Linked DNA regions of Lonchura striata. The protein of the gene in region 2 interacts with the protein of the main gene of each other region in a pairwise test. Links are inferred from orthologs where the notes say so. Each region holds a gene or a part of one and is shown on either strand. Other genes may lie near its edges.

The links.
Region 1: the proteins of NUDT21 (region 2) and CEP126 interact in a two-hybrid assay, tested with the Homo sapiens proteins (2 studies listed by BioGRID and IntAct). The link is inferred for Lonchura striata from reciprocal best matches to the Homo sapiens genes NUDT21 and CEP126.

Annotation. Positions count from the first base shown.
Region 1 is NC_134604.1:42,128,761-42,144,835, reverse strand, and holds the start of CEP126 (centrosomal protein of 126 kDa), read right to left. Parts: upstream 6,953-16,075; 5' UTR 6,884-6,952; intron 6,082-6,883; 5' UTR 6,009-6,081; coding exon 5,956-6,008; intron 1-5,955. Other genes in the region: ANGPTL5 (angiopoietin-related protein 5), read left to right, coding at 10,548-10,649, 12,365-12,512, 13,469-13,572, 13,949-14,042, 14,813-14,913. UniProt on the Homo sapiens protein: Participates in cytokinesis. Necessary for microtubules and mitotic spindle organization. Involved in primary cilium formation.
Region 2 is NC_134615.1:15,561,280-15,577,481, forward strand, and holds the start of NUDT21 (cleavage and polyadenylation specificity factor subunit 5), read right to left. Parts: upstream 7,139-16,202; 5' UTR 7,026-7,138; coding exon 6,910-7,025; intron 4,781-6,909; coding exon 4,580-4,780; intron 3,468-4,579; coding exon 3,404-3,467; intron 2,744-3,403; coding exon 2,654-2,743; intron 1,995-2,653; coding exon 1,919-1,994; intron 1,525-1,918; coding exon 1,410-1,524; intron 177-1,409; coding exon 155-176; 3' UTR 1-154. Other genes in the region: prolyl 3-hydroxylase OGFOD1, read left to right, coding at 8,336-8,480, 8,876-8,992, 9,791-9,882, 10,888-11,013, 11,350-11,463, 11,780-11,859, 11,991-12,286, 13,064-13,186 and 2 more. UniProt on the Homo sapiens protein: Component of the cleavage factor Im (CFIm) complex that functions as an activator of the pre-mRNA 3'-end cleavage and polyadenylation processing required for the maturation of pre-mRNA into functional mRNAs.

The DNA.
Region 1 (16,075 bases), on a different chromosome or scaffold from region 2:
ATACTAAAAACAGTATGACTAGATGGTAGAACTATTTCCTGGTTAATTTTATTAAATTTTCTTCACAGTGAAGTGATAGATGCTACATTCTCAGGTGGACTAAATGCTTACTACTGCATTGGATGAAAATTATAATTAAAAAATGAATATATACAGTGTGTATGGAGTGCTATGAAATGAAAGTTGTTATTATTCTTCCATTGCCACATCATGTTGCAAACCAGTGCGCAGTAATTTTAAAATTGAGGCAGGGAGATATTTGTATTGTCAATGACTGCAGTAGGATGAAGAAAAGGCTAAAATGCAGTGTCAGACTCAAAATTTCCTTCATGGGCAAACAGGAAGCGATCTTACATCCTTAAAAAGATCAGAAATCAACTTTTTTATCTCAGACACTTCCCAAGATCAGGAACATATATTAAATCTATTCCTTCATCTTTGATTGTTGTATGCTGAACCTAAAAAGACAGCCTGAAATGCGAGAGCTTCAGAAGAACCAACCCTTACAGTACCGTATGGGCTCACAGAGGGCTGTCCTGCAAATATGCCCCCAAAGGTCCACAGGTGGGCTGCCTGCACTATTCCAAGTCTTGTTCATAGGCAAAACCCAAGAACACCTTATTAAGTCAAGATTTTTTTTTTATTAGTATAATTCAAATCTTAAGAGTCCAATTATTATAACTCCAGAATTGTTACTGAAAAATAATAATATTGTTAGAATACTTCTATACAGAAAAAGGGTCAATAATAGTGATATACCAGTTTGAACAGTTATTCACATATTGAGTTTCTATCTCTTTTCCTGATGCTCATTCTTGCATTGCTCTTTTGCATCCCAAGGCTTGTAGTTTCTGTTTGTGCTGGAGTGTTAAAGGTGAACAGGCAGCATCAGGAGTCCCTTCAGCAGGACCAACAGGATCTTCATGTAAATGCTTTCTCTCCCTCACTTTAGAATCCATTTGGAGTAATTTCTGAATTTGCTAATACACATTTACACCTCTGCTCTATCATCATCAATTTGCAGCTCCACAGTTCCTCCGAATATTCCATACATGGTGCCTTCTTTGTATGTGATATACTATTGTTTTCTTCTCTTTGTTACCTCTAAAAGCCAGGTTTGTCAGATCTAGTTCTGCACTTTTTTAGCTGACTGTTCGTGATTATAGCCATGGGGTCTCCAGTGCCAAGCCTGTGTGCCATCTCTTACCATTCCCTGCTTGTATTCCTCCATGCCACATCCTACACCTCCAGTTTTCAAAGCCTCTGTTACCATACCAGGCCTGCATTTCTCAATACTACTTCACGATTTTAGAGTCATAAATATCTCATCCTCTGCATAGAATAACTGCTTCTTACTGCTATGTACATAAAACTATGGTCATACAATAAAAAGATAAAGGCAAAATTAGCCACAGACACCCGGTCTTTTAGAGAAATTGCTGTTACAGCTAAACCAAGCAAAACAAAACTGCTGTCAGGTCAAGAAAAGTTCAAAGAGAGCAAGTTTGGCAAGCATCTGTTCCAAGTCCTTGCTAATTCAGCACAATCCTGTGGCTCATTATCAAAAATGGCAATACTGCATTTCAAGTCCACATCATAGTGGTTACAGTGATCACCTACTTTTCACAGTTCCATTCTGATGTAGAAAGAAATACAAAATTCTTAACACTCTGCCTCTCTATTTACCAAGTGCTTACACTGTTCTCATATTTCTGGCCACAGACTGCTTTTCATTCTCAATCAACAAAACTGGTGAATAATTTAAAGAGCATTTATGAAATAATCAATGTTAATCAGCCAGTAGGTGGAGCACACAGCTTGTGCTTATGTTGAAAATAAAGTATTCACGGAAAGAAGAATAGATTGGGAATAGATTGGAAACAGACTGGAAACAGATACAGATTTCCTTCCCCAGTTTCAACAGACAGATTAGCTATTGCTGAACCAAGACAACCAGCTGTAAGGTTTATTTTACAATGCACATAGACAATTGCATTTCCAGAATGAACCGGCTACCTGCAGACAGTAACATCACAGTAAAATGGGAAACACATTTTGCACTGAGCAGTAACAGCACAAAATCTATAGTTCCCAGCAAAAGTGACAGCTGGTATTTAGAAAGCAGCATGTTATAGAAACATAAAATACGATATCCTATTCATTTGCATTAAGTACGTGCTTTGTCACTAGCTCTTATTTCCAGAATACTGTTATTTAAACAAAATATCTGCCAGTTACTGCCCCAGAGAATATTTGATTCTTAATCTGATCTTGAAATTGCAACTTTATGTATCAGTGAGACAATAAAGAAATTACTTTCTTGAAACTCAGGCAACTTGTAAAAACTGCAGGCTAGGGTATTTTGCTATGTCGAAGTACTGGTGTTAACAAAATTAAGGAGCTTGGTCAGTACAAGAGATGCAAAGAAACAGATTACATCAGGGGGATTGAAAAGGATCTGAAATTTAGGTTACTGAGACTTTTATTTCCAAACGTATCCTTGTTCTTTCTGAGCAAATGATGATTTTGTGTTTTTACTACTAAACCGATTAACTGTGTACAGCTTGTAGAAGTTGACTATTTTTAATGCTGAGGATGCTGCATTTTAGAAGTATTGACAATAAATCAACAGTAGACCATCAGGGAAAAATTCATTACCAGTACATATAGAAAAAGTTGAAAACAGAAGACCTCAATCTGCTAGAATCTTTTGGTACAGCCTTGTTTAAAGGAGGCCTGTTAGTGGTTCCTGAAGAAAAATCACAAAGAAAAACCCACAGAAAAATTTTCCTCTACAAAGCAACATAAGAGAATTAACCTAAATGACACAAGATTAAACAGAGAGCAGAAACTCTTCTGTATCGTCACTAGTGTTCCATCCTAAAGGGAATTAACTGCTTTTACTTTTTTAGTAGAAAATTTATAAACTTAAGGTTGACACTAAATTTGGTTAAGCTTGATCAACTTCATAAAATTCTATAAAGAAATGACAGTCCTGCAGATGAGAAGAGGGCAGTAGATATTTTCTATTTGGACTTTACTAAGGCTGTTGGTACAGTGTCCTCTATGATCCTCATAAATGAGATGCTGCTGAGAGGCTGAATAAGCAGTGAAGTGGAATGTAAACGTCCTGAATGGCCAGGCCCAGAGGGTGGTGATTAGTGACACAAAGTCCTAATGGAGGCCAGTACATAGTGGTGAACTCTAGAAGTCACTACTGGGCCAAATCCTCTTTAACACCTTCATTCAACATAGAAATATAGAATCATTTGGGTTAGAAAAGACCTCTGGGATCATCAACTCCAAAAACAAGCCCAGCACGGCCAAGTTCACTACCAAACCACATATTGAAGTATACTACATGCAACCACTCCAATGGGCTTTTTCCAATGCTTGACAACCATCTTCATGAAAAAAAATTTCATAGTATCCAATCTAAACCTCCCCTCATGCAGTTTGAGGCCATTTCCTCTCATGCTGTAAAACTTGTTACTTGAGAGAAAGGACCAACCTTGCTGCAAAGGTCAGTGGTATCCTGAACTGCACTACGCAAAGCCTAGCAGGCACACAGAGGAAAGGGATCCTTCCCCTCTGCTCAGCACTAGGCAGGCCACAGCTGAAGGACTGTGTCCAGCTCTGGGCTCCTCAGTACAAGACACATCTGGACAGTCTGGAGACAGTTCAATGAAAGGCCACAGAGATGATGAAGGAACTGGACAATCTCTCTAGGAGGAAAGGCTGAAAGATCTGGGACTGTTCAGCCTGGAGAAGAGAAGGCTCAAAGGAATCTTCTTAATGTCTATAAATACCTGGAAGGAAGGTGCAAAGAGGAGACAGCCAGGCTGTCTTCAGTGATGCCTGCTGACAGGACCAAACAGAAACACAGAAGTTTCCTTTAGAATATCAGGAAACACTTTTTTTTGGTAAGGATGACAGCATTGACACAGATTGCCCTGAGAGGTTGTGGAGGATTGTCCTTCCTGAGTAGAGGTGTTCAAACAGATCAAGAGGTCCCGTCCTAACTCAACCATTCTATGCGAAGGTTAGAGGTCTGTCACACTTCACAGTGCACTCATTCTTACACTCCACACAAAATATGCAAAAGATACAAATTTTCTTTTGAAATCATACACTAGCAGTGCCAAGAACACTCCTGACATACACCTGTAAGCCCTGGCAGGGAGAATTTTGGGTGCTGCCAGGTGAGAATGTGGAGTTTAAGAACGTCATGCTACTCTTGAGAAACCATCATCACATCTAACACCTTCACATGTATAAGAAAGCTAATGGAACTTGGATCATATAGACTTGAGACACAACCTGAGGGTTGATTAATCAATTCATACCTGCATAAATCCCAGGAAAAAAATATGTAGATTCAAAGAACTTTATTTTCAAATTACTTTCCTGCACATATACAGGATTTTTAATTATCTATGTCACAGCTTGTAACATTGTATGCATTTTCTACCTTTCTAACATTAACTAACTCACTCCTTTTCAGTTATTAGGAGAACACTTGTTACCACAGACTCCATTTGAATTGCTTATTGTGCTAATAATTATGCCATTCTCAATTATCACAAATTGAAATTACTTTGTTTTACGAATACCATACCTAAATTTCTAAGTGACTCACCTGAGTAACTTGGATTTATACTGTGTTTCCTAAGGCTGCAATGAAATACATATGGAAATGTATTTATGTATCCACAAGTATTACTTTAACTACACCAGTCTGTCAAAAATATGCAGGCTGTCTGGTACTTGCTTTTACATTAAAGTATAATATTTCAAGACCAGTATTACAATAAACAGTGTTCATCTGAGATGTGTAGCATTGCAGTGGTTCTGTTCCAGAAAAAGAAATTAGGTATTTAATTTTTCAACTGAGACTTAGTTTATTATCTGCAAAGTTTGTGGGTCGCACTCTGTCTTTAATTACTCACAGTTGATTTTATCTCCTCTTCCATTTCTTTTTATTTCAAAGGGTAAGTTGACAGCACATACTGTCAGGCTAAAATGGCAATATAAACAATAAATACCACCTCTCTTCTGAGTTATGAACATATGCAATAAGTGAACATTGCACAACAGAAGTCATCAGATAAGGGAACTGCAGGGCACAAGCATTAGTGAGTTAACAAGAGGCAGAGGAAGCTGGTCTGAGGCTGGGGGCTTGCAAGGAGGAACCCATCTGCCTCTCCAGTACACACAGCTGAGCCCCCTGTATGTGTGAGCACCACCTCAGTCCTAGGGGAAAAACCTCTATTCCCACTGAACTACTCACAGCACTTCACTGAGACATTTCAGTGCATAATTTACTCAATCCATTTGCCACAGTATATTTCATGGCTTTGCATTCTCATGTATGCAGAAGACAGATTATGCAAAGCTCTGTTTAAAATGTACAAAATAAGTTTATTATAAGTATTATCCTGTACAAGAAAAATGTTGCTTTGTGTTTATTGGGAAATGGGAGCACAAAGCCTTGGCATGAAGGGGAAGCTGAGCAGCTGTTATGCCATGCAGACAAAAAAGCACACACTTCAGAAAGCAACAACTGCCTTCTGCTGGCCCACTCTGTACAGCTGAGTGCATTTTTCATACATGCATTGAAGCTAATAAAACCCAGAACACTAGAAATGCAGATCAGAGCCACAAGATGAAAGTACTACTTACCTTTAGTTTATATGAGATGTGACTACAGTGAGTTTTCAAAAATTAGTGAGCAAATCAGAATATTGCTCGTTTTATTTTATTTGTCCTATAGCAAGAAACTGGATTGCTGAAACTTTTCAGCTTAAATTCCTCTAGGCCAAAGCAGTGAGCTATTTATCAAAATGAACATGAGAATAGTAGAGATATATTGATCTGTCTCAAGGTTATGACTCCTTTTGCTTTGGTTTTATCTTTTTTTTACAATCCTCCATTAAAGGAACCCTAGTTACTTGCCTTCTTCTTCTGTTTGTCTCCATCAAATATTTCATTGCCTTGCTTCGATGCATTTTTTGATCCTCTTTCAATGCCCGACGTTCTTCTTGTAAATCCTGCTCAAAATGAAATATCAAATCTCCACCCCTAAGACTGTGTTAAGGACAATAGAAACTGTATGGAACAGCTCATTAAAAGATATAACAGCCTGTGTGATTGACCTTATATAAAGGAGGTCCCATAATTGTATGTTTACAGTCATAACTAACTTTATGCTCATCTAGAAAAAAAAATAATTGCACTTTACTTTTAAAAAGCATTTTAGGAGAGGCTTTACACTCATCTTTCATTGTATCACCAGCTGAAAAATCCCACCTTTATTATATTCATTTGAAGGGACATTTTGTGTAGTTACCTAAACCTGTAACATAAGGATGCAGATATGAGAAGGAAAATTTTAAATAGTAAACATCCCCTCACACACACACTCCCACACCCTAAAGGATTAGTTGTTTTCACTGAAATTGATTAACATCACTAAATAAAAGCTCTCCAGAGAGCCAGGTCAGTCCTGCATCATGCCAGTAATTATTTACGTAGTAAATAATCTTAAGAGTTTGCGTCAGTAGTTCTTACTACTAAGATTCAAAAAACAAGAACCCCCAAGTTAGGATGGAAAACCCTATTCCTAGTGGCATAATCTCCCAGAAAAGGGAAAACAAGAGAACTCCGAAGCTGCTGGAGCAGTCAACTTTCCCACGGCAGTTTCAAACCCGCAACGTGCAAGTTCCAATTTGAAGACGCCCCTGAGGCGGCCCCTGACCGCGGGGCAGGGCGGGGGCTGCGACACCGGCCCCGGCCCCGCCGCCGCCCGCCGGGCCGCACGCAGCGGCGCGGCCCGGGCCGCACGCAGGCTCGGCCGGCCCGGGAAACGCCGCAGCAAGGATACGCAGGGACGCTCTGCCCGCCCGCGCGGTCCTGCGGGGCCCCGGGCGGGACCTGCCCCCGCGCCGCCCCGCCGGCCGTGCCGCCGAGCTCCGTGCCGCCGAGCTCCGTGCCGCCGAGCTCCATGCAGCGCCGGCCCCGCCGCGCCGCTCCGCGCGTCTCCGCGCCGCGTAGCAACCGGCGGCGCCGCTTCCTTCGCAACGGGGCGGGGCCGCGGCGGGAGCAGCGGCGCGGCGGAGCGCGCTCGGCGGCTCCGCGTTCGCCGCCTGCGGGGCCGGCGGCCGGGAGCCGCCGCGCCCGGCGGTCCTCGTGGGGCTGAGCTCCCTTTCGTGTCAAACCGTGACACGCCGCCAGGGTGGGAGCCGCGCGGGGGAGCCGCTCCTCGCTGTCCCGTCCCGGCGGGAGAGCGTGCGGACACCCTGCCAGGGACGGTGCTCGGCTCTCGCTGCGCTTTCCACCCTCTGCAGCCGCGGCATGACCTCTAAAAGCCCCGAGCACACGGGGTCCGGGCGAGCTCGTGGGCAAACTGCGCCCGGCCCCGTGTGCGGGCTTTGCAGAGCTCTGCGGTGCGGGTGCCTCTTAGGCTTCTTGAAGACCTGGAGATAACACCATAAACTTTTTTTTTTCTTTTTAAACACAGGATGCAGAAATAACAGCAACAACCACCACCAAAGATGTTTTGTGCATCAGTTGATGCACAAAATGATGACTATTATATAAAAAATATTTACAAGTCTATGAATACAGCTACATAAAGAACAAAAAAAAAAAAAAAATCAAAAACAAAACAAAACAAAAAAAAACACAAAAAAAAAAAAAAAACCAAAAAAAACCGAAAAAACCCTCCAGTTTGTTCTAATGACTACAAAACCTTTTTTTTTCCCCCTTTTATTTTATATTTTTTTTTAAGCAAAGCAGGGTGTTGTCTTGGGATATTGCCCTGCCTTGGATGAGCTGTCAGCAACAGGCTAAATGCCTTGGTGATTTCCTGGGGAGACATTTCTTGGCTGATGTATTTGAGCTTAAACCAATTCTTCCTTTTTTTTTTTTTTTTTTTTTTTTTTTCCCAGTGTACAGCTGTTCTATGTCTTTGACTAGGAAGGTAAAAAAAATAGTACTCCGCATTTGTAAAATACTTTTCTCCACAGACCCCTCCCTCATATTTGTAGCACAGTTTGGGAAGTGGGTGTTGCTGTTACCATTTTACGGTCAAGACCAGTGGTGGGCAGGTTGCCAAATGTGTTCAATATTTATAGTATCCCAGTTACTGCCATTTAGAAGACCACCCTAAAATGGAAGTCTTTCAACTCTGCTTCAAAAAATCAACCCAAATTTCACCATTTCTTTGCCCCATCTGTTCTGTTTTGTTGCAGAAGGGGGAAAAGTGGTTGTCAATTTACCACTGTGGGCTTTTCAACCCCCCCCCACATTTAAATTCCCAGATTGCCTGATAAAATGCACTGTTTATTTTAGGATGCAGTAGAAGGCTTTATCAGGATGGAGAACTGAGTCACCCAATCAGAACTGAGACAGAGCTGGGAAATGACAGAATTTGGGCCCGTGCACATCACTTCAACCTACGAGATTGAAGGTCATGGTCAACTCAAGCCACTGACAGATTTTGAGCTTCCTTAGATTTGCTGAAAATTTTCATGTAATACAGCACAACTTGCAGCTTCACCTTAAGATACCTATTGAGATTCAGAAATTCCTCAGTGTTTATATATATTTCTATCTTGTTTACTTTTTTATTAAGTCTCCATAGTCCTTCTTTGTGGTTATTGGATAATTTCTCTTCATGAGTAACCTCACATTTTTCAGACTGTGGGACAAGAAGGTGACAAGCTGAGTGCCATGTAATTCAGAAGTGTATGATTATTCTGGGGCAGCAAGAAACCTGATCTTAAGTAGTTACAGAATGGAAGGTCCTGCTCTGACAGCTGGTTTGAAAGAAGTTTCATAAATTTTACTTTGGGCTGGACACTGATATTCCAGTGAAGGATAAGATCAGCTTTTAAAACTTTGTGGGATGTATTCTGAATTTATTACAAGTCTTATTTGAAGGCTAGAGCATAGCTGTGCTGCTGCAGAAATGCATTTTTCTTTCCTTCTTATTCCAGTGGAGGATTAATCTGCTGATGCTCCATAGTTTTTCTTCAAGCTGTGTAGGCAACTGCATGGGAGAAGATAATGTTCTGACTATTTTAACTATTCCTGCCTGAAATTTGTCACTCTACCTATTGATGTACATAGAAAGAAGAAGAAAAACTGTTAGTTTGCCCTTAATGTGATATATAGAGAGCCATGGAAATCTTTTCACATTTTTCCTTAGACTGAACTAATGATCACAACCTGCATCTTCTGGAGAGAGCATCAAGTGATGCACTAATTAAACCCTAGTAATTCTCATATTGGAAAACTATTATGTACCATGTGGTACTTTAGAAAAAAAAAAATAATTTTGAGAAATACAGAAGAGCCAAAGTTGTTCAGAATTTCACAGGCATTTCAATATACTCCTCTCAGTTACAGGTTCTTAGTGCCATTAAGGTATTAATTTTCAAAGAAAACATTGGATTAAAAAGTGTATTAATCCCCACTCCCAACAAATATTGGTTGCTCCCAACTAGTCTTAGTAGCAAAAACTATTTCCAGTGTATTCCAGCTTTAGATAGAGGTGGAGATTAATCACATTATCAAGCCAAATTTGAAACATTTTCTTCCGGTGTAACATGCAGGTTAACACTGTATTTTAAAGATCCTTTAGACAGTGTATTTCCCAGTGGTACATTGGAAGCTGAGGTTTCATTTATTCAGCCAGATCACAAACAATTTAAATTCTCTAATGTGTCTAAATTCTCTAAGTATGTTTGACCTTTGTGAACTTTTTTTTCCTCTTAGACTGTCAGATCCAGTTTTAAGATACAAAAGTAGTGGAATTGAATGAAATCTGTAAGTGCCCCATAGTTTTAATTAAGCATTTAATTTTCTTCTTTTTCATGCCATTCTCTTGTACTTTGACTTTTTTCAGAGATAAAAATCATTGTACTGAATGACAGACTCAGTACCTGTGTTACAATGGGTGGGCTACCGGTGAAACCAACATACTGCTGTTATTCTCCTGGTAAAAGATTTTCTATGCAATACGAAGTATTAATTTAAAATAATGTTTATTCAGTTCTCTATTTTGAAATTACTTTGATGACATATTCCAAAACTGCCTCCACATCCTGTTCTAGTGCACTATCACCACAGCAGTACAGACTCTTTCATTTTAATGATAAAAAAACTTGGTAAAAATCTGAAAACATCAAGTGATACTAGTTTTTCTTTCAAGCAACCCAGAACACTCATGCCAAATATACAAAAATGCTCAAGAATAGCATATAAGAAAATCTGTCAGAGTTTATGACAATGAAAATATATGTTTGATGTGTCATGTAGAGGTGATAAGCTGTAATTTTCCTTCAGGATTCAAGTAGTAATATATAAAATCTACTGTGCAATTGAAATGTGGTTTATTAAATCCAGGCAGTAAAGGAGTGATGTGTTGGCTGTCCTTTGTGCTGTAGACATTCCCAAATAGTTAGATCAGGCCTTCATAGTGTACAATTCTTTCCACAGAAATTTGAAACCCATCAAAACATTTGCATTTCTTCAAGTAAAAGATGAACCGCCACTTTAGGGTAACTTCATTTATTTGTCTTAATATTTTTTTGTTCAGTTTAGGAAAGACTGTGATAAATAATGGCGAACCTTGTTCACCTAAGGTAAGATTTTCTTTTACTTTGTTCAGATAAGATAATGAATGTAACTGAATGATTTCTCAGAAAAGTGGCAGATGTTTTAAAAATATGGATTGCCTTATTCAAGACTGATATGGAAATACAGAAGAATCAGGTATTTTCAGATAGAGAAAAGAAACTACATTGAAATTGCAGGAATTCAGTATATTAGAACATTTTTGAGTCCTGTATGACAGCTCAGTGGTTATGTCATATTTTTAATCTCATATGCATGACTTTAAATGCAGAGTAACTATTGGTTTTGGCAGAGTTAGTTTTTGCTTGAATTGCTGAGAACAGATTTAATTGCTTATTTCATGTTGGCTTTTGTTAAAGATAAATATTGATTAAAAATATTTGCTTAACAGTGTTTAATTGAACATCTGGTGAGTAGCTGTGATAGCCCTGAAACAAGCCATACTTTCAAGTGTTCTATTTATAAGTTTCTAGAGATCTTTTTATAACTCTTGCATAATTTTTCCTTCTTTATTTTGTGTTTATTTCAAAATTAAAGAAACTTATTCTTTTACTTCTCTGTCATTCTCCTGGCACAAAATGCAATTATACCAGTAATTTATAAACCTTTTATTGTAAAATTTCTTTGTATAACAGTTTTCTGTAATTTTTACTTTCACTTTTTAAGAACAAAAACCAGGGGAAAAATCCTTGTTCAGTGCTGGCTGGTGTAGTACCAATTGCAGAAAGAAAACTGGAGCAGAAAAGAACAACTGATGAAGATGTATTCAAGTCTAAATAACTTTTGTTTTTCATTAAAATCTTGACATTTCTAAAGCATCCTGTTTACATTTGGAAACACAATGTATGAACATACTACAAATTATTTGCTGAGATGATGATATCATCAAACAAAGACTCATGAAAATATGTTGCTTAGTCTTTTGACAATGACACATATTTTGGGAATTACTTTTAGTAATTTCTTTAAGTGATGATTCAGAGGCATTCCCATATTTTATGTCATATGGCACCATGGAAGAAAAATTATTAAATATGAAAATAAAATTTTAAAATAACAGGAATAGGTGGAACTACTTTTACTAATGCTATATTGTTATTGTTTCAGATAATTGTGTGCCTATGCATACTGTCCCTTTATTATTTCCCCTATAAGAACATTGAAATATTTTTTTACTGCTGAATTGGTCTGCAAATCTTCTCGTGATTGCTTGTGTGCATAAGTTAAAAAGTTATGCAATTACTTCCTTGATCAATGTCTAAATAATGAACTTAAGGATTTTCAAGAGTAAAAGTACTTTGCTAATATGAGGTAAATCCAAAAGCCTGCTCATTTCCAGTGAAAATAAGTTCATTAGCATTTGAGTTGTCCATTGGGTGTGGTAATTCCTAAAATGCAGAATTTGCAAGTTCTTGCCTCCCACTTACAGTGCTTACAAATAGAATACCTCACCAAAATGGTGGTGGTGGTTTTTTAATTTATTCAGGTTATTCTTTACCTCTGACACTACTTTTTTTTTTTTTTTTTTTTGAGAGGTATGGCTAAGCAGAGAACATCTAATCAGTTTTGGTCTCAGCTCTGTCAATTATTGCTTGATAAAGCTTTTAAAAAACATGTTTTGAAGGAAGTTCTGTGAAGCAGTATACTCCATTTTGACAGACTGAGCTATCTTATTCGTGCTTTATATTCAATTTATCTCCCCCTCCATTATTTGGTACAACAGGACACAAGGAATGTTGGACCTGTGGAGGAACCACTCCAGGCAGAAGAGAAAAATAAATCTGCAGATATTTCAAAACAAAAAGAACAATGCCTTGTACCATGTGATGCTCAAGCTAAAATTTTACGAGGGGACAAACATTACATGTGCAGTATGTATTCATGAAGAATACTTTTAGTGATGAGCTGTGCAGTGCTATGCTATGCAATCCTCTCCTCTGCTATGCTATGCTGTGCAATTTTGTTTTTAATCTTAAGCACATGTGACAGCCTTGTGACCCTGCTTCCAAAACTGTGTGTTGTCCAGAAAATCTGGGGTACCCTTTTTTAGGGATGCAGCTGGTGTGAGACATTGGTGAAGACAGGCAGATCCAAGCAGCCACACAACCCACCTACAGCTGTTGCCCTCTGAATGTCAGCATCTCTCTCAAGCAGAGAGGAAGAGGAGGATGTCTGTTCCTCATTAAACGTCATAGCTGGATGTGGGGGTGTGAGTGGGATTTAATTAATTAGTTAGTTACATGGGAGTAAATGTGTACTTACTTTTATGGAGGCTTACAAAGGACATTCTCTATGCACTAGCTTGATAAACTTACAGCAAATTATACAATCAGCCTCTGAAAATAATTGTGCAAATTATTGGTTTTCACATATGATTTAAAAATATCTATTATTAATTATATGCCATTATGATGATCATTAAGATTTTTAGCATCAGAGCAAAAACCAGGAGTAGTACCATGAATGAGCAAATGTAAGGTGACAAGAAACCTTATATAGATCTGCCCTTTATCATATGCATTTATATTTCTGTGATATCCATTAATGAGTTGTCCAGTTTACCCAAGGATAAGATTAATTTCTTCTCCAAAACATGAGAAGAACCATCACTTCTTAAGATATCTGTACTGCAATCAGAAAGTATGAAGTTTTTAGCACCTTTGGCTTTAATCTGTGGTCTCTGTATTACTTTCATTTCACTTTTAGGTGCTGTAAGGTAAAACACCTTCAGTATTCACTTAGATGTCATAAATAAATATGCTGTTATTTAGTCAAGAATATTTCTGGATTTATGAAAACAAAGTGGATGAACATATTTCTTTTGAAGGAAATTTGCAGAACTCACTTGCTGAATATGCCAGAAGTACAAAAAAACTGGTAAGAGACATGATGGATGATCAACAGTCTTCGCTAGATTACCTTTCTAATCAGGTACTTTTTTCCTTTATTATAAAGATTTGTATTTGTTATTTTTTACAGCAGGTGTTATCTTTCTGAGGAAAAATAGGGGTCATTAAACCATTGAATTGTCATTAATTCACCAGAATTAGAGTGTCTTATCACCAGTCCTTGTAGCTGTGGTAGAGTGTGGCTTCCATTTCTGTGAGGAGTGGTAAGCATCCCATTTCACACCTTAGTGTCATACATTGCAGTAGGGAAAGTGGAGGACCATTCCTTCACATTGGTACAAATTACTACACATCACAAAACTTAACTTCACATTATGTTTACTAGGAGTCAGAAAAATCTTTAAAATGTAAAATTTCTCATTGCAAACTAATTAAAGATCTTTTATTTGAATTTGCAGGTAAATGAACTTATGAACAAACTTCTTCTTTTGAACACCGTAATTCTGAGAAAACATCTGGATCCACTTCCTTATAAAGCAGTTCAATCTCATGGTAAGTATTTTTCAGAGATAGTCTTGACACCTTCCCTTTTCATCTTTGTATCTTGCAAAGGAGCTAATTAAAGCAAAGGTAAGCAATTGTACATTGACACTTGTCCTGTGTTAGTGACATATAAACTCTATAAACTTAATAAACTGTTTAAAAGTGTTATCATAAATACTGCTTTAAATCATTTGCAATTGAGAACTCTGGGCATCCCATTTAGCATGCTGATTTTTATGTAAAACACCAAGTATGATTTTTAGCTAGTAAGTGATCTGAGGCTGTTAAATAGTACATTCTTTTGCAATGAAATATGGTGTGCTCTGCATCTGCAGTATCCTTCTTCAAATGGAATATTTTTCATATGTACTTTAAGATGGAAAGGCCTTTACAAGTATAAATATCTGTAGAAAAAAGACTTATTTTCTCAGATAATATGTCTTTTTCACAGTACAGGTGTTATAAATAAAATGAAAAAAATATGTAAATTTACTCAGATACATAATCTTTAATTTCATGTAGGTATGTATCATATCTATTAAGATTAGAAAGAACTGCATCAATACAGTGTTATTTGTAATAACTTAGAAGTAGGATGGTGTTTAGAGAATTTTAATTCGCAAGATAAATTCATGACAAAGCATGATTTTAATGTTTTCATGAGAAGAAAATTATATTTTAAATAATTCATGCCACCAAAAAAGTAATTTTCCTATATTAATCTGTTTTTTTAAAAAATATTTTGCTCATGAACTTCCTTGAGTACCTTTTTTCTGTAGGTTTGGACTGCACTCATATTAAAGATACTGTTGGTTCAGTTTCAAAAACTCCAAGTGGTCTGTACATTATCCATCCAGAAGGATCAAATTATCCTTTTGAGGTAATGCATTTATTATTATAGTCATAATTTGATTGAGAATATACATTTTGTATATTTTTAATAGACTTAAAATGTTTTCCATTCATCCTCAACAGATGAATAAAAAATGTATTGAATCATATGCACATGAGTGCTTTTACTATAATTTTGACAAGTTTTGTATTTTCTACAAAGAAATTTAATCTCTGTCATAAGAACCCATTGTCATTGTTTTCATATGCAGTGAAAAATACCAGAAGAAAACCCAAGGTGTTTTCCAGCACCTCTTGGATATGGAGATAAGCTGTTCTTTTCTCTTTTAGAGATGGAAAACTGAAGAGCGAGTGACTGATCCATTTGTCTTTTAAGATGGGACTTTTAGATTTTGAGTGATTCTGCTGTGTAATATTGCCTTGTCTTGTGATGGGACTCTGCTGATGCAGATTCATCCAGGTGTAGGTGCAGATGTGCCTTGGTTTGAGGAGTAGAAACCTTGTCTGAGTATCATTATAATCCAGTCTTGAGGCACAGAGGCATCTAAAATTGTGGTTTTCCTATCCAGTTTGCAGGATTTATATTCCTAAAACAAGGATATATATCCCTAAAATAAACTGCAGCAAACATGCTTCTTATCACTGCCTATGCTTTATGTAATTGCTCCAATTAATAGTGCTCATATAGAAGAAGGGAAATTTGAGTTAATTTCCTCAGACTCAGAATATTAAGATCCTTGCAAACGCAAGGAATATTTTTTAATGTTTTTATTTCTATTTCATGTTGATCTATTTAGAGAAGGCCTTATGCATAGTGGAAATGTAGATATGGCATTTTCAAACCTTCAACTTTGCCATACAGGTTGAAGTCATTATTTTTTGAAGAAAAAACAAGGAATTTCAGCCAAATAATAACTAGCAAAGTTTAATATCTAACTTTATAGTGTTCCTTTATGTGTAACAAAGGAAGGATGAATCTCTTTATTTCTGGCCAAGTGGAGCCCTTCAAAATGCTAGAAAAAGGAGCTTAAACTGGTTAATAAAAGGTTTCAGAATTATGCTGGCATCCCAAAAGAAAAAAATGAACTTGATTCTACAACCTTTGATATAAAACCCTGTCATTCTCTCCATAAAATGCAGTGAGCTCAGGAAACTTATCTGTAATTCATCATTAAGTCCCTTCCACGTAA
Region 2 (16,202 bases):
TCACTTCTCTGTTCATACCCTAGAATGTTTAGTGGTCTTCAGGAACAGAAAGACTTCAAAAAATCCTTGTGTCACACATATTCGTTTCTCTACAGTTCAAAGCTGTGCTCACAGAGACGGCTTCTTCTACTGGAGTCTTCAGGTATATAGGAACTCAGTTGTAAATAAAGTTGAACCTAAAATTAAAAGGATTATACCAAGTGAGGAATTTTGATTCTTTTTTTTAAGGGCATTTTTGAATGAATAAGCAAATGTTTTGTTTTTGCTCTGGATAAGCCTCCACCTGACAGGACAAAAGTACATTTTTTCATAAGACAGCTTTACAGTATAGCAGTATATATATCATTTTTAACAGCCAATCCTACACTAGCATTGCACAACTGTCTCTTATGGTTTGAGAAGAACTAACTATTAACATTTCATGTCCTAAAACAAGGTCACAGATACATAAATCACAGTGAGAGTTACATTCCTCCATCAGCAACTCTTTTGCAGCACTTCTGCTACTAGACCAACCTTACATGTTCCAAGGGGAACACACAAACATACTGAAGAGAGAATTTTTCCCAGCTAAGTTTCATAAATAACTGTGGAAGCAAGCAATCCATCTCAGCTTCCAGGTGCCCAGCCTTTGCATGTGTCTGTTGCACCACTACCCAACCTGCATGACAGTTTGGCTGGTACTCAAGAGGAAATACCTGCTGTCTTTAGAGGAGGGGAAGCCAAAATTTGGGCTAGAGAGAAAAATACTCAGCAGGAAATAAGATTATGTGCAAGACCAGTGCTAACATACTTTTTTCATCATAGTAGGTAGGTGACAGAACTACTTCCCTGAGGAAGAGCTGGCAGGCTGTGGGACTCCTAGTATGCCTGAACATGCTCTCAAGTAAGAGACCAGTGAGCTCTGGAGAGACAAGCCACAGCCATTCCCAGGTAATAAAGTCAAAGCATGGTATACATTCCAAGAGAAAGGAAAAAATACAGCTGTCCCTACAGATATTTGTGTCATAAAGATGCTACACTTCATTAGCTCTACTAAAGAGTGTAAAAAAACCCACCACATTTAACCAGCACAAAGCTGTGATAATATGCATACCTAACTCAGTGCTTCAAATTTACATCCTGGCTTTAACTCTCCAGCTGTCTCCAACAACTACAAGAAGCTGCTCCTCAGTCTGTGCACAGCCTCATCCTCACATCTTCCATGTGTTCCTTAACTACAGCTGCTAGGTAGGACTTTGGTGCTAGCCAGTTGTGATCAGTGCCTCAAAAGTGTCCATGCAGTTCATCTGAAGCAGAATCTTTGGGATAGATGCCACCTTTTCAAGTTGGTTTCTGTAGCACCTTGCTTTGCTCTGGTGTCCCACAGGAAACCATGTTCCCAGAGCCACTATACAAATACAACATACCTGCTCAAAAGTTGAGGAAGGCTGGAAATAATAGGTCCATATCCTGGTGCGTTGTCATAGAGCTCAAACAGTGGTGCAGCAACCAGCTTGTAATTTTTGGGGACTGCAAACAAAGCTAAAAACAAATACAAGTTGATGAATCAAAAAAACCAGCACACATTCAGCCAAGGGATCATCATTCCCCACAGACCTCAAAACAAGTTCACTACATAGAGCACTCAACCAGGTTTATTGCTTTTTTAGTTAAATATGGGATTCACATCCTGTACACAGACTGATGCAAGCAGGAATAAAAATTTACTAGGAAGTCATGTTCAAAGGATCATCTACCTTCAAAACAAATACCAGCATTTAACTTTGTTAGTGATCAACCACAAACAACTGCAAGCATACACATCTTGGTATAACATACCACAACATACACAATCACAACTTTGTGTTCCTTGAGTGAAATGCAGGCATTTAAATATTGTTACAAATACAACCCTTTGATCCAAACAAACACTTACCCTTTTCTTGAAGCTGGACCAAAAATAGCTTTTTGTGTTCTTTTGGCTTTGTAATATGAGCTGGGATATATGGATACTAGAAGAAAAATGGTAAAAAACAGTTGTACAGAGCTTTGAAAATACTATGTAATCTTAAATGCTACTTTATAAATTATCAAGCCCTGTACAAGTTTTCAGTGTGTCATATATTATTCTTTCATGGCATCAAATAAAACCATTTTCATAAGAAAGTACTTAGGAAAGGAATGCTGTTGCTGTCACAACTATTGACAGGCTCTAAAGTGGCATCAATATCATAAGCAGTTAAAACAACCCAATAAAACAGAAATGCATAAAAGCAAACTAAGCAAACTAAACAAAGATTTTCAATATTAAAGCCCTTAGAAATAGGGTAGTGAGACTAGGGCATGTTCCACAAGCAGCAGTACAAGAATCTCCATTGTGGCTACAAAAGGAATATAAATGGTGCATATGTCTCAATGTAGAACTGGAAGCTACTACATCTAGTGGTTTCTCATCCATCAGGACAGGTGTGAGAAGGAAGACAGGAATTTCCATTAAAAAAAAAGGCTGTAGTTTCTCTTCAGTCATAGAAAGGAGATGAAATAGACAAAACCCAGAAAAACAAATTGCTCATGCAGCAGGTACTCAAGAAGCCCATCTGGAAGGTTGAAGGCTTTTAGAAGTACAGACAGAACTTGACCAAAGAAGATGGAAGCCCACGGGAGTACTCACCTGTGGAGGTTCAAAGTTTGGTCTCCACCAGTTGCCAATGCAGTCATCAATCACCCAGTCTTGCTGAACACCATCCTGACGACCCAGTATCTATCAAAAATCTAGTACTAATCAGACCTCAAACTACCTCAAGGAAATTCTTTTATTAAACACATACTAGAAACAGAAAGACTTACTGCAATATATGTCTGATGTAGTTCATAACTGCTCTGAGACAGCTTTCAATAGAACTGTAGAGTATTTTTATATAAAGTGAGATTTTTCAGTAAAAGCTTCACCTGGTAAGACCAGGACACTCTAGAAAGCTTTTCAAAAATCTATGCTGTACTCAGCTGGACTGAGTCCTATCAGACCAATTGGAAGAATGCAATACATTGTTACATTAGCTAGCAGAATTAATTTAGCTACTTGGAGAAAATGGTGCATTGAGAGGACTATCTCAAAGGCAAGTCCCCAACAGCTGTCCTCCACAATATATTTTATTGCTCATCTCTACACTCACTTGCCTGAAGCCAGTCAGAAAGCAAAGCTGCAAATGAACACAGGACTTGAGCAGCAGGTAGGAGTCAGCCACACTCATGATGCAGATAAATGAAAACTTGACTGCTTTATTTGTTAACTACCTGAGAACATCACAAAAGCAACAAAATAACAACAATGGTAAGAAGACTACTCTAATCTTTATCTTATTCTGGTAATTCTAAAATAATGCAACATTCTCCTACAGCAATATAATGACAGAAAACAGACCTCTGTCATTAAGCGTTTGAGCCCTTCCACCTCATCTTCTCCTGGATTGAGTTCACCACCAGGTCTGTTAAAATAATCAATGATGAAAGTCAAAGTTATTTTATTGCATTTACCAATCTTCACAGCCAAGTTCCAGTGTGCTTCCAGGCTTATGGCTCTTAAGTTAGGAGTTAGAGATCTAGTTTTGCTGAATTGAAAGACAGCAGCATAGCTTTCACCTCAACTGAAATTAAAATGGCTATTTACATCCCATAAAAAATAACCATTACATAAAATACTTTCAGTTCAGCAGGACAAACTATAACAATACACATGATAAAAACTCAGTCCCTTATAGGGTAAAGTTTTAATAATAATAACCAGAAGCTGAAGGGCTGTAAATACTGCCTGTATTTGTTCTTATCACAAAGCCAGCACTAACTGAAGCATAGAGAAAGCAGAAAATAAAACTCATGTGGGAAAATTATGCAGGATTATTAATTTTCATCATTACAGCATTTTGCAAATTGTTTACATTCTTGTCTAGTCTGCAACAGCCCTTCAAATCAAGATGCCAAAAACTAATCTAGATTAGTTAAATTACTTAACATACACACAAAATTGAGAACAATCTAAAATGTTAAAACAGAAGAACAAGAACACAAGCATGGTAACATGAGACAAGTCAAGGCCATCTAGTATAAAAAATAAAATCACCACCATCACTACATCTGTATGCAATCACTAGAACTTCAGTCTGGCTGTGATAACTATGAGATGAACTGAAGCAATTTTCTCAGATTTAGATGCCTACCTTTCTTGCTATCCCAGCTCAGCTATTAGTTTGTAAGCAGGTATCATTCTGCATTTACAGGGGGTTAGTCCTTGGCCTCCACTTGCCCATTTTTACAGGCACAGCATAAGCGACTGAAGCATTGCAGCTTTCACAATGCAAGTACAACACATCAAGTGCTGGTAATGATTTTTAAACAAGATTTTACTGTAGTGATGCACTGTAACTAAGATTCCCAGTCAGTTCCAAACTAAATCATCCCCCTCACAAGCAGAGTCAAACACACTTTAGATTGAAACCACACCATTCAAAAAATACTTTCCAACTATGTCTTTTAACCTCTAGCCCACATTTACTGGTTTGTGACAATAAACTGCAGTTACACTTAGGAAACAGACACTTACAGCTTGAAAAAAGTTGTACCCAGCTGCAGTAACAGCACATGGGGCAGCCTGTGCTCATGCACAATCAGAACTCCTTCCACTGTCCGCCTCATGCCAATCTTGTCAAACTCTTCTCTCATGCGCTGAAACCGAGCTGCCACGGAACTGTCCTTCTCATACAGAGGCTCCTTTGTACCAAACGTGTAATTCGTCAGAGGATACCTGTAAGGAGAAAAAATGTTACTGCGTAACAAGAAATCTAACTTTAAATCACCATGACACAGCATCTACCCTGAGACAGATCCTTCACTGCTTGATGGGTAAAGTCATAGTGCAGGGCTAAAAATCTTTGTTGGTGGCTTATGAGGCCCCTGTCCCAGGGAGATCTGCACTATAGAACAAATAAGCACAGACAGTCCTGTTGAGCTGCACTCTAGCCTGGTGTAGGCTCAAAAGAAGGAAAAGAAGCACAGAACCAACTGTTGTTCAACAGCCACCCTCTTTGATCTCCATGCTGCAGGGAAAAGGCAGGTGAAACTCTGCTAGGAGCTGGAAAAGAGACTGGAGAAAAAGCTCTCCTGGGAAGGAAGGAAGCTGCACAGGACTGCAGGTTTTCTTCTGCAGATATAATGAAGCCTGAGAACTAAACTGTTAGAAGTGGTTTTGTTTTGAAGTGGGAAATCAGACATGTGGATCACAGAAGAGGAGACATGCTGAGTTTCTGAGTACAGGGTTGGGAACCTAGGGTAGGATCAAGAGTGTGAGCAGATCCCTCTGTTGGGCTGGTGCTGGGTGCCTGCACTCCTGTAACAGTGCAGTGGAAACTTGTCGATTTCTGAAAACAAAGAAAGGAAAGGTTAGGCAAGAAATGGGTCAGCCCAAGACAGCAAGAGGGCAACAGGGGAGTGCTATTGTACAATTAAATCCATTTAACAGAGAGGTCTGGTGGCAGGAGGCCTGGAGGAAAGACAGAATCACCCAGCTAAGTCAAAAGGGAGAAGAAAATGGTTCTGGGCAGAGCAGCGATGAGTTATCACCATGGTTTTACTGACTTGTGGCACACAGCAATGGAATTAACAGAATGAATGACTGTCTTATGTTTTCCTTGAGATGCTTCTTGGCATGGATTCCTTCCCCAGACATGTCAAACTTTAGTAGCATACGCTCTTCTCTCCTCAAATTCCAGCCCTCCTCTTCCTCCAATTTTCCTAATGTTTTACAGTGGTTAAAATAACAAGCCAGTTACCATTGTTGGAGCCTTTTCTCATGTAGACAAAACAACTAGCTTCCAAACCACAGGTTCATTTACTAACAAGCTCCCCCACTTTTACTTATAGTCTAAAACCATCTACATTTCTTTCTCTCTTCATTTCCATTCTTAGATACACAAATTACTTTAATAATAACCTATTAAGCTAACCCATACTATACTAATGTGGATGCATTAGTCTGTACATCAAAACCCTCAGCTTCAACTTAAAAAAAATGCTGCTGGTAACACAGCTTCATTATGAGTCTTTGCTTCAGAAACCCGATAGAAATATTGCAGTTTCTGAAGTTCATATTTGAACTTCCACATGACTCTGTGAATAAACTCAGCTACACAAAAAAACACAAAAGTGTCAGTGATTAATAGCTAAAATTAAATATTGACTGTTACAGCTACCATTTGCTGGTTTTTGCAATTTGATATATGCACATAGCAAAGAACACGTCCCAAATCCACCAGATTTACTGGAAGAAGCAAAAATATATGACTTCTCATAAAAAATACATTAATACTTATTAGTAAGTAGTTTGTCTCTATTACAAATTTCTGTGGTAGGAAACACTCCGAATTTTATCTCCAACACCTGTGCCAGATAATCCACAATCACCAGGCACATCCAGCCACATCCCACTGACTGCCCAGGATCAGCTCAAACCCCAGCGAGGCTAAGACCCTGTCTCTCTCTGCCGTCTTTCCGGATGCCTGTGAGAGCAAGAAAACGTCTGTGATGCTCACCACACCTAGACCTTTCCTGTGTTACTTGGGGTTCACAACTCCCGAGCCAGACGCTACTTCTAAGCACTAAAACATTTACACCAAATCCTCCACATTCCCACGAAGGCCGGCAAGCCCTCGGTACCCTCAGCGCGGCTCAGCAGCCCCTGTGAGGGGGGCGGGCCCCATCGGCACTCGGGCTCTGCCACCGCTGTGCCCCAGCCCTCCGAAGGGCCAGGACCCTCCGGACCTCGCACGGCGGAATCGGAAGGAAAATCCCGCCGAGCCTGCCGAGGGAGCGGGGATGAGCTCGCCAGCGGGGCGGGACGGCGGGGGCAGAGCCGGACAGGCCCGAGGCGGCGCTCACAGGTTGATGGTCCTTTCCAGCGTGAGCGGCTTCGTCTGCTGGATGTACTTGTTCCCGAACTGGTTCACCCCGCGGGGCCAGCCGGTCTGAGAGCGGTTGGGCGGCACCACGGACATGGCGAGAAGCGACGGGAACAGGCGGCGGGAGCGCTCAATCACTTCTGGGCGGCGGGAGCGCCGTCCGCCATTAACGCCCGCCCAGCCCTCAGCGCCGCGCCGCCTGCTGGGACCCGCCGCGCCGGCCCCGCCCCTCCCGCTCATTGGCCAACGGCTCCCCGCACGATACGATTGGCCATCGCTGGCGAAGCGCGGGGGCCGCAGGGAGTTGTAGTCCGGCCGGACGGTACCATGGCCGCCAAGCGTCACGGAGCGGCGGCGCCGGCGGCGGCCAAGCGCGGGAGGCGCGAGGCGCGCGCGGAGCTGAGCGCGGCCCTCGGGGACGCGGCGCTGCGGGAGCGCGCGGGGGCGGCCTGGGCCCGCGGGGAGCGGCTCCGGCACGGTACGGTACAGCACGGCACGGTCCGGCCGGGCCGCGGGGAGCGGCTCCGGCACGGTACGGTACAGCACGGCACGGTCCGGCCGGGCCCGCGGGGAGCGGCTCCGGCACGGTCCGGCCGGGCCCGCGGGGAGCCGCTCCGGCACGGTACGGTACAGCACGGCACGGTCCGGCCGGGCCCGCGGGGAGCGGCTCCGGCACGGTACAGCCCGGCCCGGCTCCCCGCCCCTCACCGACGGCCTTTCCCTTGCAGAAGCGGTGGTGCTGGAGCCGGCCCCGTTCCGGCACGGTGTCATTCCCGGTTTCCTGGCGGACCCGGCTTTCGCGGAGGCGCTGCGGGATGAACTGCTGGGCCTCGGCTTCCGCGGGCGGCGGAACGACCTCCTGTCGCTGCGGCAGGTGGGCCCGGGGCCGGGCTGAGCCGGGCCGGGCTGGGCCGGGCCGAGCCACGCTAACCCCGTCCCTTCTCTTCCATGGGCCGCGCAGTCCGAGGAGCTGGGGGCAAGCCCGGAGCCCCACGTCGCTGCCCTGAGGTGAAGCGCGGGCTCGGGGCTTTGCCCGCTCAGGGTGGGGGGAGAGCCGTGCTGGCTCCACAGCGAAAGCGGGGTGGGCCGCCTTCTGCCCCCATACTCGGGCCAAAAACCGGCTGTGGAGAGCTGGATCTGCTCTGTGCTTGTCATGGGCAATGAAGTCTATTCAGCTTTCATCCATATTCAGCTCTCCTGCAGCTGTCACCTCTGACAAGCTTCACAGTGCACCTTCCCACTGGTTGCATGTTTGCTGCTGATTATTGCCAGCAGTGCTGTGAGCACGGGGCTGTTTTCTTGGCCAGTGTGATCCTACAGAAACACACTGTCACTCACAGCAACAGCACCTGTAACCATTTAAACAGTTAGCAGGGAGGCAATACATTAATTTAGTCTATGATTATATGTTTTATAACATAGGACACTTACTGTGTGCTTATTTTCTCAGGCATGCACTGTGTGAAGAATTCCAAGTGTGGCTTTCTGATGTGACCCAGATAGTGCTGGAGCCAACTATTGACATATCCTGTGCTAAATATGAATATACTGGTCAGTCTCTAAGTGATCCTTTCCCTAGAGCTTCTGTGTATGTGTAGGGAACAAAACGTCTATAGAACACCTACTTGTATGCTAGTTCCAGAGGGTCCTAGAGGCTGTCAACAGCAAAACTGTGAAAATGAAGTACAAATGATGAAACAACTGTTGCTGGTGTATAACTGCCTGTACCTTCAGAGTGGCCTGATCTGTCAATTGCAGTGCAGTCCCACAGAAGTGAATCTTGCAGATTTCAGGCTGCTGATGCCAATGAGTGAAAATGTAGTTCTTAGAAAGAACATGTTTTTTCTTGTCGTATCCTTGCGGGGACAAAGCTGGGAAGCAGTTGTTGGCATGAATGATGCATGTACTGGAAAGATGCTACAGCAGCAAAACATGTGTAATTGCAGATGTCTTGCTGTGCCACGATGATGAACTGGAAGGTCGGAGAATCGCTTTCATCCTATACCTCGTCCCACCCTGGGAGAAAAGTGACGGGGGAACATTGGATCTGTACAGCACAGATGGTAAAAGCTCCAAGCTCAGCCTCAGATAGATGAAGGAGATGAAGCTTATGTGCCCCTTGCAGCAACTCTCACCCCAAACAGTAGAAGGGAAATAAGGAGTTTCTCCTTTGTTCGGAGAAGCTGATGTAAAGTGTGCCCCTTAGGGATAGGCTTTGCAGACAGGCAACAGCAGACAAACTTTTGGAGGGGTCAGGAGTAGAGGCAAGATGGAAGTGATGCCAGTAAATGTGCTTGGAACTCCAGACTGATGACAAAAACTTCCCTTTCCAGCAGCAGAACCGCAGAATGGTTTGGGTTGGAAGAGATCTTAAAGCTCATCTTGTTCCAGCCCGCCTGCTGTAGGCAGGGACATGGTCTGCTAGACCAGGATGCTACAAACCCCACTGAGCATTTATAGGATGGGGCATCCACACTTTCTCTGGGCAACCTGTGCCAGTGCCTCACTGCTCACAGTGAAGAATTTCTTTCTAATAGCTGATCTAAACACACCCTTTGTTTCAAGCCATTCTCCCTTGTTCTGTTATTCCATGCCATGTCTGTCCTAACTCCTTCTACAGCACTCTTGGTAGCTCCTTTTGGTACTGGAAGAGGCTTTAGGTTACCCTAGAACCTTCTCTTCTCCAAGCTGAACAGCCCCAACTCTGTCTTCCTGTCTCCATGCAGAGATGCACTGATTCCTCACCAAGCCCTTGCTCTGAGCTCCATGCCTTATACCCAGGTGTCCCACCAGTCACAGAATCATGTTGTCAGAGAGAAGTCCCAGTTCCTTTCTTAACCAGAGTATGTTTTCTTCTTCAGAACACTTTCAGCCACAGCAAATCACCAAGTCATTAGTGCCTTCATGGAACACACTGGTTTTCTTTGAAGTGTCTCCAGTCTCTTTCCATCAGGCAAGGAGCGTTCTCTTGTTAACTTTTTAATCCTCATTGTTGTGGTTATTCATTCTGTGTGTTATTACTGTCCTGATGGGGAGAGAGAAGAATGGTGGGTAGAGTGGATACTTGTGCTAAGTGCTGTGTGCTAAAGAAGGGCTTCAAGGACTTGAAGGAGGACAAGAACCAACAAAGCCAACTTTAAACCATCAGTCTAGCTGCATCATCCTGTGAAAGAAAAATTTCCATTTCTATTTTGTGTTACTATCGTGGCAAGCCACTGCTTTGAATTTAGCTCTCGCTTGTTTGTTAGCTTGTTTTAAACTAGCTCACATTTTTGATGTAGTGGTCATGACTTTGCTCCAGAAGAGCTCCTCAGGCCATTCATCACCTTGCCAACAGTGCAAGGGCACTTTGCAGATCTGGCTGTACACCCTCAGTGGCACAGACATGGTGCAGTACCCTGCAGCAGAAATGCTGATACAGTTAAGGAATACTCTGTGACACTTGTCGGGAAGAAGCCTGGGAACAGGATGAATAATTTGGGGAGCTGCATGACACAAACACCTGACTGAAATCTGACACTCCTGTGTACCTGAGAGTACCAGGGACATCAAACAAGGCCAGAGAGCAGAAGGCTGGGGAGGAAGATGATCAGTGATATAGGTTGGGCATGTCCTGACATAGGCCACTTAGGGGTCTGTTTTTGTGTCATTTATGTCTTACAGTTGTTAATTAAGAGCAGCATCTACTTGGGTTTAATTTTGTCTTAAAAATCCATTACTCAAATCTCCCAGAGTAAGAGAGAGAATGCATTCTCTGTGAACTTGGAGTAAAAGCTTAGACTGGAATTCTGGAAACCTGCAATGGACTTCAGGACAATAGGCCTCTCTCTGATAATCTGTCTGACATACCTGTGTGTGCAGTGGGCTCTCTGGAGCAGAGTCCATCTCCTGTTATGAATTTGCTTGGCACTGGTTACGCCTGGTCTGACCCGTGACGTGCTGCCCGCCGTTGTTGCAGGTGTCAGAAGTTGTGTCGCAGAAGTGCCGCCTGTCAGTGAGTGGTTGGTTCCACGGCTCGCCTGTGGCCAGACCTGCACGGCACATTGAAGCCCCCTTGGCCAGAAGCCCACACATCCCCTATGATGTGAGTAACAGTATATCTGCATTTCTGTCTCTGTCCTGTTCCTGTAATACCTGTTGGGGAATGCATCAATGCACTGGGGATGCTTTAATCTTTATCCCATTCTCCTTTTCATTTCCTGTTGATAAATTTGTATCCAGTTTCTTTCTTAGGCATCTTTGTATGTTTTGCATACCTACAGTAGTTCAGAGAATGTGGTGAATACCTGTGGTGCAAGGAAATAAAGCAATGGAGTGTGTTTGTGTGTAGGAATCCAGCTCTGTGGCCAGCTCAGTAGGAGGAATTAGGGAATCTTCTTCACTTCTGAAAATTCAGTGTTCTAATCCATTTCCCTTCCAGCATGAAATATTGTATGAGTGGATCAATCAAGTTTATTTGGACCTGGACTCCCAAGCTCAAATCCAGGAGGAATTTGAGGAGCGATCAGAAATTCTCCTGAAAGACTTTCTTAAGGTGAGCCCAGTGGTTGAATTTGATGTGATCTGCCAGAACTGGTCAGAGGGCTGGCAGGTACTACATGGCACGAAGGCTGGGAGAGGACTTCCTTGCACATCCATTAAAACAAAACACCTTCTAAGTTTCACACCTAAAAATGGACAGGTGACCTCCAGAGGCTCTTTCCAACCAAAAACCACTCTGATTCTGTGGAATTATCCCCTCTGACTGCCTGTAAACCACTGCATCAGGACTCAGCAAAAATAGATCACTTGTCTTCAACCTTGTTTTCTTAGGAGCTAAATGTTAACATTTCTGCATCTCTTTCTCCTAGAAAGAGAAGTACCAACTACTATGTGAAGCATTGGAGAACAAAGAGATCCACTGGAGTAGTCGAGGGCCAGCCAATAAAAGGTGGGGAATGACAGCACGCTGCACCAGTGTGCTGAGCAGGAGCTGCCAGGAGGCTGCACTGGTCAGTGCTATTGTTATAGATGTGGTCCTTGTTGGCTCTCCCACAAGGAGATACATCTGCTGTCTTTCAGACTCTATGAGGCAGCAGAGGAACACAGCCTCCCTGACACCCTGAAGAAATTCCTGCAGCTACTTCGCTCTGAGGCCTTATTTTTATTGCTTTCCAACTTCACTGGCCTAAAACTGCACTTCCTGGCTCCCTCTGATGAGGATGAAGATGCTGGGGAGGGACAAGCAGCAGACACCAGTGGGCAAAGCAGTCCCAAATCTGAGCAGGAAGAGACTGAACAACGAGCCAATGGCAATCCCCATCAGCCACACCAGCCTGAGAACACCCCTGAAGCACAGGATGGCGAGACTCAGAGCAGTGAGTAGAGCAGCAGCAGTGAAAAAGGATTCAAACAAAATTCCCAGTGATTTTCATGGAACTAGTGCTTCACCTAGTTTGTTTCACCTTGTTTGTGCAACCAGCACAAACATAGGACTTGAAGCTTTTTAGACTGATTATCTGAAATCAGTGACCATTGCAAAAGAATTTGGAGTAAATCAATGATAATTTGAAGATGCCATTTTGAACAGACCTAAGTCCTAAGGGTGGGACTTTTGGGGGGACTGCTCATCTTCTGTCAATAGTTACATGGTTTCTACATCCATGTACCCCTACGTCATATAAAGCATATTCTTGTATGAGATAATAAATCCAAAAGAGACAGGTGAACAGGTCAGAAGTAAAACCATTTTAGAATTAGAAAATTGATACCTAAAACTAGGATTCAACCTTTCAGAAAACACCATCAGCCTAAACAACCTTAGTTGAATTTAGTTGTCAGCAGTGACAACTATGAAAGATTAGATTAATTTTGGGTTTTGATTGATGATGTTTATTTAAAAGAGTGGCTCTGAAGTTTAAAGGTAGAGTTTTTGAAAATGCTCATCTTGCACTAAGACAAGTTAGTGGACACTGGAATAAAAGGTAATATAAAAACAAGTCCTACTTAAAAAATCCCATCAGAGCAGTTACCAGGACCAAAGGATGTATGGAGCAAATCTCACAGTGGTGTGAGATCACTGAGCTCCTCACACGCTTTGAGCTCAGCTGATGTGCCTTCATGGCTCTCCCTTGGGTGTTTGTGCCCTCTCCTAGGCTCAGGAACTCCTGTGTGTGCGGGGGAGCTGCGACGCTGGACCCACGGGCACTACACTCTTGTCCATGATTCTCAAGCCACAGAATTTGCTCTTGATCTGCTCTTCTTTTGTGGCTGTGAAGGTAAGTGGATGAGAGAGAGATGTCAGACTCTCCTTTCACAAGACTTGCATAAAGGAATGACTTCTGAGTGGTCAGCAGTTCTAAAACACACAAAATTTCCCTGCTTTTTCCTGCATAGAAGGTTTCTGTAGACTTTGTCTTAGTCCTCACTTCGGCATAAACCCTGTTTCCAGTAGTCCTCATGGAAAAGTTTGGGATTGTGGCCTTGGAATCATCTCTGGCCTTTCCGCTTGCGCCAGGAGGTGGCGCTTGGACAGGGGGAAAGGCTGAGCAATGGCTCTGGGTGCGCTGCAGGCTCAGGTGGCCACAGTACCCACCAGGAGTGTTCTACCCTTTTCTCATCAGAATTATTACTACACGTCCAGTTCACAAAGGTCAACGTTTTCAAAAGTTACTTTAGGCATACCTAGGCATTTTGGGTTGATTGCTAGTTAGATAGTGGTAAAACAAAAAAAAAAAAAAAAAAAATTAACCACAAGCATTTTAGACCAGATGAGGCCAAAATGTACAGCTGACTGAAATCCTTTGGTATATCTGCTAGGGTAGAACTGTTCTACAGGTGAGGAGCGGTGCACCAAGCAACTTTAAATAGCTCATCTACCATAAAAGGCAAATCCAGTACACTTGCTTCAAGTTGTTTCTGAACAGAAGAAAACAAATAGACTGGCAGGAGGTAAATACTTACCCTGTATCCAGTAACTTTGGAGAGCAAGGTGAAAAATGGCATCTCCTGGAAGGCTGTGTGGAGCATGAACAGCACTGTGGTTTCTAAGAATGTTTCTTTTCTATTTTAAGAGTGGGATCCTGAATATGGTGGCTTTACTTCCTACATTGCTAAAGGTGAAGATGAAGAGGTAAGGACCTCAGTAGCTAGCTGCAAATCAGATGAAACTGTATAGGGTGGAGAGACATAATTACACTTTGTCTTAATGCCAGCATAGTGCTGAGGGCGCTCAGTTGCGCACTGGAGCCTCCCTGCCCCAGTCGCTGCTCGTGGGCAAAGCTCTGGCCTCAGAGCTTTGTTAACACAAAGCATGAGACCTGGGCCCTGAGAGAGCCTCATGGTACCTGCACCTGGGGCTGTTTGGGAAGCCTGCCTGGAAGGGACACAAGGCTGTAGCAGGGATAACACTTGCCCAGGGAAGTGCTGTTCACTGGGATCCCATTCAGCATCAGTACTAGAAGCCCTTAATGTATAACAATGCTTCAGGTAAAGGGTATTAAAATGAAAATAGTGTCACAGTGCATTTTCTAACACCAACCCTTTGTTCTAACTAACTTTTGAAACAGTTTTGTTTTTTCTGAAGAATTTTATTAAAGCTATTTTTGTGAAATTGATTTACTTCCTTATCTTTGTATTCCCTAGCTGTTGACAGTGAATCCAGAGGAGAACTGCTTGGCCTTAGTTTATAGAGACAAAGAAACTATGAAGTTTGTGAAATACATCAACCATCGAAGCTTGGCACGCCTGAACAAGCATCCAAACAGAACAGGATTTTGGGATTTTTCCTTCGTCTATTATGAGTGATGGTGTAGTATGACCACTGTCACAGAGAAGAGTAGTGGGTGGTGGACAGGTTCCTACCCAGACATTAAGCTGACAAACTTTGCTCATGCAATTCAATCACACTGCTTAATGGAGGGGGGGGGGGGGGGGCAGGTGGTTTTTTTAACTGCAAAAAAGGAAAATCAGACTTATCCTGTGTCCATTGTAACACACTCTCAACGGCTTTTAAGGCTCTGTGGTTGTCACACAACTTGCCAGCTGTTTTCTCATGGGAGCAGCACAGTGGCATCTCTGACCCATCAGAGTGAGAATTACAACTGTCCATTGCCCCAAGCTGCTGACTGATTTTATTAAAAAAAAAAAAAGGAAACGTGTCAGTTTTTTCATACACTGGTCAGACAAGTTTTGTTAGAAAATGCCCAAGACATTTTCTGGGGCTTAACTGTGTTCCTAAGACAAAAATAAAGGAGCCACCATGGGAAATATGAGGTTTTTCCAGCTGCACAACTCTGTGGAATTGGGAAGGAAGACAGTGAGGCTATAAAGGCATTGGGTAGCACTTGGCACCATAACAAGGAGCAGGACTTTATTATGCTAAATGCTGTGCAGACAGACCTAGATGGGGCCCTTTTTCCAAAGAATTTACAAGCTAAACAGCCAAGAAGAAGCCTGCTCCTGCACACTCTCCTTGGGTGGGTGTGCAGACAGCTTTGAGCTCCAGCCTCACAACAGTGGCCAGGGACTGGAAGCAGGAATGAGGCAACTTACCTTTTACTGGCTTGGTGTCCACAGGTAATAGGGAGGTCATCCAACAGCATGGCCTTGTGTCCTTTTTGTTATGTCCTGGGATCTGCGTTTTAGGGTGGTTTATGTCACTGGAGATCATCTCAAATGTTTTGAGGCAGCAGCCAGCCAAGTCCTGTGGTAAACACTGCAGGAAAGGCAGTGAGTGTGGCCTTGGTGCAACACTTTCCTCCCTGCATGTTTTCAACACTGCACCGCCCCACAGTCACTGCAAACAGGACTGTGCCAGACTCACCTCTGAGGTGTCCAGACCACCAAGAGGTGCAGCAGAGCTGTACCAATGCTTCAAGAGACAGCCAGAGTGCAGAACACTGCTGGAGGCTCGGCCCTGGTCTGCACCTGCTTGCCTGAAACTTTTTTCTGTCACTGAGAGACAGGTGTTCTTGCAGCTCGTGCAAGCCAGACACTGCAGGCCATGGGCTTGCAGTAAGCTGGGGAGTGTGCATGTCTTTCCTGGGTAGCTTTGGATTAAAGTCTGCTCCTTCTCCCATTCCAGGCCTGTTGGAGGCCACCACAGTGGGGTAAGACTGCAGCTGACAGTACAGGAGCAGTAAACTCAAAGCAAGGCTCACTGTTGACATGAGTACTCTGGATCTTTTCCCGAGCAGGTGGGATGTCCTGTGGGCATGTCTGCATGAAGACACAGGAGCAACAGCCTTCAGTGTCGATCCCAACACACAAAGTTCAAAAAAGGAATCCCTGAGG